3 linked regions of the Arabidopsis thaliana genome follow. The protein of the gene in region 3 interacts with the protein of the main gene of each other region in a biochemical or structural test. Each region holds a gene or a part of one and is shown on either strand. Other genes may lie near its edges. The genes, in order: FTSH1, PP2AA3 and CHIP.

Region 1 (3,752 bases), on a different chromosome or scaffold from region 3:
GAGATTTCATCCTTGCTTATTTCCTTAAGCTCACGCCTAGCCGCAAGAATCGCCGCTTCATTCATCAGGTTTTGTAAGTCAGCACCCGTGAAACCAGGGGTCCTTCTGGCAACCTTGTCAAAGTCCACATCTTTACCGAGTGCCTTCCCCCTAGAATGAACCTAAAATAAAACCAAACCCCATAGAGAGAAATAAGAATCATTCACATAACTCCATAGACAAACCAGTAACCTTTATAAAACAGCTATGAAAAGAACCTGAAGAATCTTGACTCTGCCAGCCACATCAGGCCTATCCACCGTGACCTGTCGATCAAACCTTCCAGGCCTCAACAAAGCCGAATCAAGAACGTCCGGCCTATTCGTAGCTGCCAAAACTATCACACCAGAGTTGCCAGAAAATCCATCCATCTCTGTCAACAGCTGATTAATAGTCTGTTCTCTCTCATCATTTCCTCCTCCCATCCCAGCTCCTCTCTGCCTACCCACAGCGTCAATCTCATCAATGAATACAATACAAGGGGCTTTAGACTTAGCCTTCTCGAACAAATCCCTAACTCTCGATGCACCCACACCCACAAAAAGCTCTACGAACTCCGAGGCCGCGCAAGAGAAGAACGGCACTCCAGCTTCCCCAGCCACCGCCCTAGCCAGGAGTGTCTTACCCGTACCAGGCGGTCCAACAAGCAAACACCCTTTAGGAATCTTAGCACCCAAGGCTGTGTACTTATCAGGATTCTTCAAGAAATCCACAACTTCCTGTAACTCCAACTTAGCTTGATCAGCCCCAGCAACATCTGCAAATGATACACCAGTCTCAGGCACTTCCTGGAACTTGGATTTAGAACGTCCGAAATCCATAGGACCACCCAAGCCACCAGGACCACCACCAGGGCCTCCCTGAGCTCGCCTGAAAAGCAAGAAGAGTCCACCAAAGGCCAAAAGCGGGAAAATCAAGTTTCCAATGACAGTGAACAAGTCATTGCCTGAGGATTCTCCTTCAGAGACGGATATATCAACTCCGTTCATAGCCAAGATATCAATAAGGTCAGGGTCGTTAGGGACGATGACTGAAGCACGGCGATTGTCGACGGCAGTAAGCTGAACAACAGAACCATCTTTGCTGAATCTAACTCTCTCGACTTTCCCTTTCTTCACAGCGTTAAGAAACTCGCTGTATCGCCACTGTGATCCTTCTGGGAGATCCGATGATTTAGGACTAGGAGCCTTAAGTATCTCGTTCTGAATGAACAATGGCGATGGCGTCGATGGCTTCACAGCTTGAGATTCTATAACGACAGACGGAGAAGCTGGTTCGTCCACTACAGCTAAAGCTAGCGGCGAAGATGAAATTGAAGATAGTAGAATAGCTGCTAAGGCTACTTGCGACGAGAATGGCGAATTGGGTTTACCATTTGGCGAATTTTCGTCTTGAGACGATCGAGTGATTTGGTATTTAGCACGGGAGACGAAGGAGAAAGGGAAAGAGGGTTTTCTGGTGGTTTTAGGGGTGGGAGATGAGATTATGATATGGGATCCTAAGAAGAAATTTGAAGAAGAACGTAGTAATGAGTTAGAAGCCATTGAAGCAGCTCTGTTTCTTCTTCTTCGTCAAGACTTGTCAAAATTCGAATTGAATTCTGAGAGAGAAGAAGCTACAAACGAGAAACGTGGAACAAAGGATCTTCTGGTTTTTAAGGAAGAGGAGATTAAGCAGAAGCCATGACTTCTCGAGTCCTTTCTACGTTTGCTACCTCATATCCACTCGTTAACTGATCGCAAAATGCCACAAAAATTAATTAATTTAATGTGCAAATTCGAAAAAACTTTGTAGTGGTCGGACAGTTCGGTTTAATTTTAAAAATTTAATTCAGTTCGGTTTGGATTATGTTCCGGTTCGGACAACTTCCCCACCAACTAGAACAGTCTTGTAAGCCTCAACAGAACATGGACGTGAGAGCTTCATTCAATACCATAACCATTATTGAGTCTGCCATCAGTGAGATCATGGAATTCAGCGGCGACACAACTAATCTGTCCCATGTTAACAAGAGGCTCCACCTTTTCGATCAGTCTATCTTTGTCAAACTTTATTTGAGAATCATGAAATACCACAATCTTACCATAAGGGAATGGAAATGAAGGATGGTTCCACGAACCAAGTTCTGCTCCTACTACCAATCCTATTGAAACAATCGATGATTATATTTTATTTCCGAAAAGTCAGAATTTTCTCTTTTTTTTTTGGTCAAAATATACAAAAGTTTCTATCTTTTTTTATGTACTGTATATCAACCACAAGTGTAAAGAGTAACACAACAGTGAGAGCTTGGACAGAATAGATCCAAACCTTCCTGCCTTTAGTAAGAGTCCCTCTTCTAATGGCTATTTACATACAAAATTAAATTACAAAACTGAGACCTCGTTATAAGCCATATCTAAGGTTGAGAAGAGATGACCACCAGACCTGCCACAAAATAAAGAGGCCTTGATAAGCTTATCACACACGGTAGGCAAAAGGTTGACATGAAAATATCTGGACTGAACTATGTCACACAAGGTAGAAGAATCAACTGACTCATTTTCAATTCACACATAATTTTATCAAATACAAAGCCTGATGTCCAGTTTTGACTTTCGGTACACTACAAGCAGCAGAAAGAGTAACAGAATCTACAATTTTAATGTTTCAAGTAGCATAATTATTCTAGGAAAAAAGAAGTTCAAGTTTGGTTCTTGACTATATGAACAAACCAGTGTTGTTCCACGTTCTAATATAAGGAAAACAACTGACAAAAAGAGAATCTGTCTGTCCAATCACATCAGGGGAAGAAATTTCAAGTTCTCGAGGTATATATTAAGAGACTTACTTGCAACAGAAATCTCCAGCGAGATGTATAGTACTATACTACGGGTTGAAGAAACTTGAGCCTTCCATGTTGATAGCAACAAGAACCAATATACCCGTGATAATACCGAACCACAGTAATGCTAATCCTGAAATTAGGAGGTTTTACAGTTTCAGGTCAAGAAAGCATAGAAAGGAAATCATCGTAAGAGATTGAGCCTCGGTATACCTCCATCACCGCCAGCTCCTCTACCAGAATTTGCAACTAACAAATCCAAATTTGATACATCTGCGTTTCTTTCAGACCCCTTACTAGTATCTGGCTTAGAAGGTACTGGTGCCCCAAGTGAGTCACCACCATCAATTATACCGTCTCTAGCTTCAGATGAAACTATGCCTTGAAACTCCTCACTCACAATCAATGCAGACAACACGTTCATAAATGACTCTTGATCAATATCATCTGACGAAAGCTTTCCCTTCCGCACAAATGAGCCAAGTTCTTCTGAATCAGACATTTCATCGTCAGAAGTATCAATGGCTTTGACATTGGTCTTGTCATCTTCTTCCTCCTCCACATATGATTTGTATGTAAGCCGTAGCAGTATCTCACCCGCAGATCCCTTTCCAAACAAACTCCAACCACCACGCAAAACCACAATTCTGTCTGTAGGAACCGTATCTTGCAGAAATCTGAGATCAACCTGGACATATAACTAAATAATAAGGCTATGCAGACAGTAACATAAATATTAAGCAACATTCCTCAAGCAATCATTAAAGAGATCCACAGAATACGTACTCAACGCCTATTATTCTACAGATTACAAAAAAAAATATGTACCCAAGGAAATATTATTTACCTCTCCAGTACCAATAGCCATATCAGCAAACCCAAGACGATC
Region 2 (3,752 bases), on a different chromosome or scaffold from region 3:
CAACCGTAATTCTGCTTAACTTCAGCTAATGGTCAGTGTTCAATGCAGTAACCCTAATACTTGCCTATTACACATCAGCCACCCCCATAACTAGGCTTGATGAAAATTGTAAGAGTATATGCTGGAAAAACGAAACATATAATAAGGGAGAGCATACCATCTTGCGTAAGATCCTCAAACATGGACATAATGTCTGTCTTCAAATGAGCTGATTCAATTGTAGCAGCAAACTTCCCCAAATTAGTTGCTGCAGCTCTGCGCACCATTGGCATGTCATCTTGACAAAGCTGACCATATATTGATCTTAGCTCCGTCTTTAGCACATCTGGGGCACTTGGGTATGCAATATGGAAAATCCCACATGCTGATACTCTGGCTGTGAACCATTCACCAGCTGAAAGTCGCTGTTACACAATGACAGTGTTCAGTAATGCTTAAGTCGGTTTCACATTACGAGCACCTATACCGAGGTATGTATGGTCACATACACAACCACAACCCAAAAGAGCGCTAAAGCCAGAGCGATGTTCTCTTAGATCAACCAAAATGGATGTAAACAACTTCAACCTACCAATTTCCCAAAACACCTATAAGGGGAACACTGAACAAGAAAAGCATATTTCCAAACTTTGGGGGACAATTGACAAAGGACCCCAAAAAATCTATGTTCTTCTGTTTTAGTGGCTTAATAATATTAAGTTTGACAGAGCATGGAAAGGAATCAATAAAATCGACCAAAGAGATTTGATAAAATAAGTAAACCAGCCTTATCTAACCTTAGCCAGAGGAGTGAAATGCTCAACCAAGTCACTCTCCCTCATCTGAGCACCAATTCTACAAAGTGAATCCACAGCTTTCTCCCTCACGCAAGTTTCCTCAACAGTGGATAGAGTCTCCAAAGGTGGAAGCAGAACATATGCATACTCAACCCCTCCTACATACAGAATAAAACCCCCCAACTCTTCCGCCATAGCCAAAAGCACCTCATCGTCATCGTCATTGTTCTCACTAAGAAATGGAATCAACTCTTTTCTTGTCCTCTCCTCTCCAAGAGCACGAGCAATGATAGAAAGCCGTTTAATAGAGTTCAATCTACGCTGAATATCATCGTTTTTTAGCTCGTCGATAAGCACAGCAATCGGGTATAAAGGCTCATCAACCATAGACATCCTCACCAAAACTCAAATCACTCCCTACCTTCAATCAAACACAAATGTACACAAAGTCAGAATAAAACACAATGCATACATAGACACCATCAATACAAAAGACGATAAAGTTACAAACTTTAAACTCAATTCCGCCTCTGAGATAATTCAAAGGTGACCCATTAGCCTCTAAAAAATGATTAGAATGGAGAACTGAAACTTTGTGCCGTCCCAATCTAGAGAGAAACTATTACCATTCTTAGACTAATAAAGAGAGAAGATCTAAACAATAATTCGATTTGAGATTCTCAATATACAATTGGAAAATGTTTCGAAATTGAAGAAATGATCGAGAATTTACCGATTACGCTGCTTTCCAAGTTCCGAGCGATCTATCAATCAGAAGAACGAGAAATGAGACCGGAGCTCGTCTTTCGCAGCAGCTAAACCATCTTCAAGCTGTGTCCATATAATTGGGCCTGTCAAAGATAAGAACTAAATGGGCTTATGTATAATACATAAAGGCCCATATATCCAACAAATACGACTTCGTTTAATATCTCTCTCGTATAAAGGAAGCTTCTCAGTAACTCTCTTCTTCTTCCTCAGAAAATATCGGAAAAGGAAAAAAGTTGCTCTCGCTTCAGGTTTTTTATTTCCCGCCAATTATTTCGACAAAAATGGCTCCTAAATCGGATAACACCGAAGGTATAATGATATAATCTCTGAAAAAAATCTGCTAGTTCTCTTTGATCTTATTCCTCATTTTGATTTCTCTCTTATTTACTTGTTTCCTGAATTTTTTATTTCTGCAGCTATCGTACTCAACTTTGTCAATGAGGTAAGCACTTCTCTGCGATTCTACATTTTTGCTTTAATTCTAAACGGAGATCACAAACAGATACGACCATAAAAATTAGAATTCGAATTTGAAATTGAGTCTAGGTTAAGGTACGCAGTGATGTTCACATGATTCTGAATCTGGGAATTTAATCACTTGGGTTTCAATTTGTGCTATAAGTTTACACATGAATTTTTCGTTTGAAGCTATTGATATTGACTAGGTTTTAAAAATTGATTGATACAGGTTATATATATATATATATATATATATATATATATATTGCAAGTTTTGTTTCAATCTGTTGTATTATTGTTGTTAGATTTTGATGAATGTGTTGTTGGTACTTTTTTGATGCAGCAAAACAAACCTCTAAACACTCAAAATGCAGCTGATGCTCTACAAAAGTTTAACCTTAAGAAGACTGCGGTGCAAAAGGCACTTGATAGTCTTGCTGATGCTGGAAAAATCACGTTTAAAGAGTATGGTAAGCAGAAGATATACATTGCTAGACAAGACCAGTTTGAGATTCCAAACTCTGAAGAACTTGCTCAAATGAAAGAAGACAATGCCAAACTTCAAGAACAGCTTCAAGAGAAGAAGAAAACTATCAGTGATGTGGAATCAGGTGTGAAAAAACTACTTTTTCTCAGTGGTTTTGAGGATGTGATATAGCTGCTTGGATAATGTTATGTTCTGTGATGTTATTTGCAGAAATCAAGAGTTTGCAGTCAAACTTGACACTAGAAGAGATACAAGAGAAAGATGCCAAACTAAGGAAAGAGGTATATGTTTTTCTTACCTTTTGGTTTTTGTCTTTCTTTGAGTAAGGTTGTTGATAGCTTATAAAGTGATTTCAACTGTGTACCAGGTTAAGGAAATGGAAGAGAAACTGGTCAAACTACGTGAAGGGATTACATTGGTGAGGCCAGAAGACAAAAAGGCTGTTGAAGATATGTATGCGGATAAGATTAATCAGTGGCGCAAGCGTAAGAGGATGTTCAGAGACATTTGGGATACTGTAACAGAGAATTCTCCCAAAGATGTGAAGGAACTAAAGGTGCAAACTCATATTTCTTCAGGAGTTTTTTCTTACAGACTACATCAGCTTCGCCATAATTTTTGACTACTGTTACTTTGCAGGAGGAGCTTGGAATTGAATACGATGAAGATGTCGGTCTAAGTTTCCAGGCATATGCTGACCTAATTCAACATGGTAAAAAGAGGCCTCGAGGACAGTAATTTTCAGGTAAGTTCTTCGAATTTGATTCAAAGTTTTCTAGAAACGTTTCTTGTATAAACACACACATATGCAACTGTACAACATCATTGAAAGCTTATATCCATAAAGAACACAATAATCTTACATCTTTGACCACAAAAAGAACATAGAAAAGTACAAAACTGAGTGATTACACCGTAGATGCACCTGAAAAACTTATAACATTTGTACTTAGTATCCACGAACCTGTCTTGTCCTGACTGAAACTGGACCCTTCAAACCTGCTTTACGCATAATAGGATCTTCAATTGAACGAACCATGTGGTCCACATGTCTTGTATCCGCTCTATTCGAACCAACCATACGATTTTGCTCATCTTTAGACTTACTAATAGTAATAGTCTCAACACTAGGTTGGGTTTCTTCTTCACTATCGTAGATAATAGTATCCTTCTCCAATAGCTTCACAGGGTCTTCTCTGAATGACATCACTGGGACATCAATAATATCTTCTGAATCTGACATCGACCTTTTAGATTCT
Region 3 (3,752 bases):
GATCAAACTTCCCCACCTATCAAGTGGTGTAAACGATCAAACCTTAACAGGAATGAGGAATATTTTTTATAGAGATTAAGGCTACAAGAAAAGAGCGATGATAATGCAAACCTTCTTGAGATGTTCAAGGATTGCTGCTCTTTCATATGTAACCCCACTTGGAGAAATTACAGGATCTCGGAAAATCTCAAGAGTTATATTGCAACATAAATAATCTGGCACCTGAAAAGAAAAACCAGAAATGTATTTGACCTCAAATATAAATGAACGATGGGTCTTAAAAGCTTTTAAAGAAAATTTAATGCACCTCAGTTGGTTTATCTTCTTCTGCAGCTTTCTTAAACACTCGTTCAAGAGCTTTCAAACGCTCAGTATGGGCAGTATATGCTTCGTCTGAGGACTCTTCTGTTCGAGACATATCTAAAGCACGTTGTTGATTAAGAGCAGCCTCACAAGTTTCCCTAACACAAACATGAATAGTTCCATAAAGCCACAAAAGCACAGTTCCAAGTCGAATGATAGCACTGGATTAAGAAAGTTACAGAACCTACTTCAAACTATTCAGTTCCCATGACCGCATTGCAGAAACCAGTTCCCACTCCATGTATTTTGCTTTAGAAAGCTCTTCCCATATTTCTTCTACCATATATCCTGTTGGATTCGAGCATCTTCCAAGATCTAAAGCCTATATGAAACGTAGCTACATGAAGTTAACAGGAAACAGGTATCAAACCAAAATTTGTTTGCAGTATTTGATGGCATAAACAAACCAACCCATCTCTAGTGATTTTTCTAACTAAAACAAGTGTCCACAGTATCCACTTAGACATCTTTCAAAAGGAAAAAGATGGAGATTCAAGTGGTGCCTCACATCTTCATTAAGATGCTTGGAAACTACACTACTTAGGTCTCAACGTTACGACTTAAACAATCATGTCCACTGATAAATTTTACAGAAAAAAGCTTAGGACTAACAAAGATCCTTACCCTTTGCAATTCTTTGACTCCATTAGTAAATTCTTTCTTCTGCAATAATGCAAGTCCTAGCATGTAGTGTGCCTGCCACAGAACATAATTGTAAAATCCTCATATGATGGAGAAGAAAGGATCAAAGAAGGCCAAGAAAAGATAAAACAAAACAAAAAACTTGACATATTCCATACATAGCACACCAAGCAAAAGAATTCCATTTAGATATAATCAAAAGAGTCAAACCTTGACGGAATTGTGGACAAGCTGAATAGCTTTGCGACAATCCTCTTCAACCTTAGTCCAATCCCTAAATTTGATGCAAGCAAAGAAGCCAAACATGAACCATAAAGTATTTGGGCATTAGGATTGCCTAATCAGAAGTATGTATAAAATTTGCTTGACAGAACAATACTCACTTTCGCTTCATGTGGCAAAGTGCTCGATTGGTCCAATAAGCAGGAACATTTGGAGACAAAGCTATTGCCTACTCAATTACACAAAAAAAAAATGATAAGAAAAACCACTACAATTGAATAAGCCTGAAGTTTCTTGATGACTTATAACGATGAGCACATAAAAGATTCATAAATTCCATCAAATGTCTATTCTCGAATTGTACACTCCATCAAAACCTAATTTGGATGCAATTAAGTTCTGATTCACAAACGAATTGTCCAATTTCGAAATTATAATCAAGGGTTTATTACTCTACGCAGATCTCAATCAAAATCTCGGAAAACACAAAACCCTAACGATGAAATTGAGAGAAGGAGAGTGAGAACCATGTACCTCGGTATAAGCATCAATGGCAGCACCAAAACGTTCTTTCTTAAAGCAATTGTTTCCGTCTTCCTTTAACCGCTCCGCCATGGCGGAAGCCACGCCTGTAACCATATCTACGGCACCCCAGAAAACCAAGTCTTTATCCTTTCCAACACTCCTCTGTAACTTGTGCGACGGCGCGTCCCGGTGCGTTTCAGAAGAGAAGTAGCCGCGAAATTTCTCGATGAAAGGAGAGAGAAAAGTAAGCAAAAGGGAATTTTAAATGAATCGGTTATCGAAAGAGATTAGTCTCTTTACCGGGTCAGCTCGATGAGACTTGGATCATAATCCGGATCTTATAGTCATTCTTTTTGTTTACTACCATAAACCGGTCATTGGGTTAATTGTAAATTATTTATACAACTAGGATTAAACCCGCGGTTTCCCGTCGCGCGAAGGCTTTTATAAATTTTTTATTAAATAAATTAGTGTGTGTTATATTAAAAAATAGTAACATATATTTAGTTTTTTTAAAACTGGTATAAATAATGATTGGAATCTTTTATTAGTATGGAGACTATTTACTGATTAGAATCATGTATTTTATTGTGTTTAAAGTTGTGTATCAATTACTAAATGTGTATTTGATATAAGTAAAATGGTGACAAAAATATAATATAATGATAGATGGTGTAATTATTTTGTTGATTATAAGATCTTTAAAAACCAAAGTTGGTATGTTTTATCTTTTATTTTTGGCAAAACAAAGATAATAACATTTATGAGGAGACCTTTTTTCTAAATCATACAGAATATTTATACTAAAGAGTATTTTGAAGCTGTATTAATGATCCCATTACCCAAATTATATGATACAATAAAAGAATATACCCCCAAAAGAAAACAATGCAAAGTAAATCATCTTAACACCTAATTCTTCTTTCTAAAGATTGATTAGATTCACTATTCATGTTTTTCATCTCTTCATTGTCTTGTCCGTAGCAGCCGATCACCAATCGTTCTCAACTCGAACGTTCTCACAGCAAGGCCAACATCACGGATTGTAGTGTCTAGCACATAAGGAGTGCGTGCTCGCGGCGCTGAGAGATCGAACCATGGTAATGGAAGTAACGGATTTTGCTCTCAGCCTTGTGCTATGTCTTCCCTTGTAGATTCTGAGACATGTGTACGCCTATCGCGAATACATTCTCCGGCTGGACCGCGTATTTCCGATCCCGTCTTGGAACCTTCTTGACGTCTCTATATGCCAGTTTCTCAATTCCCCATTTTCTGAAACACAAAACCAAAATACCATTTAGATTAGTCCCTGAACTAAACCAAATCAATAACCGATATGTTCCCTCCTAAAAACAGAAAATATACAAACCAATTACAATTCAATATTTGGTACAAACAAAAGAAATAATCTTTACAACATTTCTCACTAATATCATGTGATGTTCAATAAAAGCAAAGATCGTGACCGACATAGGAGACTAATACAGAATGCACAAAGACTTTTACAGGCCAAGTGTTGACAGAATCAGATGCTTATTGATATTATATGTCACCTTCAAAAAACTTGTGACTAATATTCTAAGTCACTCAATAAACAACACATGGGCTTTGGTTAACGTTCAATCATTAAAATCAACAAAGTTATGAATGTTACCTGTAAGTTCTGGCCGGGCCATCACCGGAATAACAAACCTGACTACTCATAGGCATCAGTTCAATAGTAAACTGAAAATATTCCTCCAAAGATTCCATCACAGACGAAATCGTCTCTTTCACCGGAACATGTAAAAACTCATCAACATCAACGAAGAACATCCACTTCGTCATGAATACTTATGCAAACAATCATTCACTATCATGAATTGATTATGATAATAACCATCGAATCGTTCTTGATCTCAATTTGGTTTGTGATGAGAATGACTTTGATATTTATAGTGATGAAGGAGGCTAGGGTTGTTGGATCTAATATTTTCAAAAATATTCGAAAATATCTTGCA

The links.
Region 1: of the proteins of CHIP (region 3) and FTSH1, one has a biochemical effect on the other in vitro, tested with the Arabidopsis thaliana proteins (one study listed by BioGRID).
Region 2: of the proteins of CHIP (region 3) and PP2AA3, one has a biochemical effect on the other in vitro, tested with the Arabidopsis thaliana proteins (one study listed by BioGRID).

Annotation. Positions count from the first base shown.
Region 1 is NC_003070.9:18,615,348-18,619,099, forward strand, and holds the start of FTSH1 (FTSH protease 1), read right to left. Parts: upstream 1,809-3,752; 5' UTR 1,584-1,808; coding exon 258-1,583; intron 162-257; coding exon 1-161. Other genes in the region: NTMC2T5.1 (N-terminal-transmembrane-C2 domain type 5.1), read right to left, coding at 2,908-2,996, 3,077-3,551, 3,711-3,752. UniProt on the Arabidopsis thaliana protein: Part of a complex that function as an ATP-dependent zinc metallopeptidase. Involved in the thylakoid formation and in the removal of damaged D1 in the photosystem II, preventing cell death under high-intensity light conditions.
Region 2 is NC_003070.9:4,566,180-4,569,931, forward strand, and holds the start of PP2AA3 (protein phosphatase 2A subunit A3), read right to left. Parts: upstream 1,671-3,752; 5' UTR 1,510-1,670; intron 1,198-1,509; 5' UTR 1,170-1,197; coding exon 777-1,169; intron 568-776; exon of another isoform or gene 405-567; coding exon 158-404; intron 1-157. Other genes in the region: AHP2 (Tat-binding protein 1(Tbp-1)-interacting protein (TBPIP)), read left to right, coding at 1,829-1,856, 1,964-1,989, 2,350-2,617, 2,704-2,774, 2,861-3,049, 3,133-3,231; AT1G13340 (Regulator of Vps4 activity in the MVB pathway protein), read right to left, coding at 3,443-3,752. UniProt on the Arabidopsis thaliana protein: The A subunit of protein phosphatase 2A serves as a scaffolding molecule to coordinate the assembly of the catalytic subunit and a variable regulatory B subunit. Involved during developmental process such as seedling and floral developments.
Region 3 is NC_003074.8:2,358,436-2,362,187, forward strand, and holds the start of CHIP (carboxyl terminus of HSC70-interacting protein), read right to left. Parts: upstream 2,115-3,752; 5' UTR 1,867-2,114; coding exon 1,762-1,866; intron 1,457-1,761; coding exon 1,389-1,456; intron 1,280-1,388; coding exon 1,216-1,279; intron 1,060-1,215; coding exon 988-1,059; intron 686-987; coding exon 552-685; intron 462-551; coding exon 308-461; intron 223-307; coding exon 112-222; intron 17-111; coding exon 1-16. Other genes in the region: AT3G07380 (glycosyltransferase family protein (DUF23)), read right to left, coding at 2,889-3,024, 3,407-3,579. UniProt on the Arabidopsis thaliana protein: Has E3 ubiquitin-protein ligase activity and may target misfolded substrates towards proteasomal degradation. Regulates the activity of some serine/threonine-protein phosphatases by E3 ubiquitin-protein ligase activity.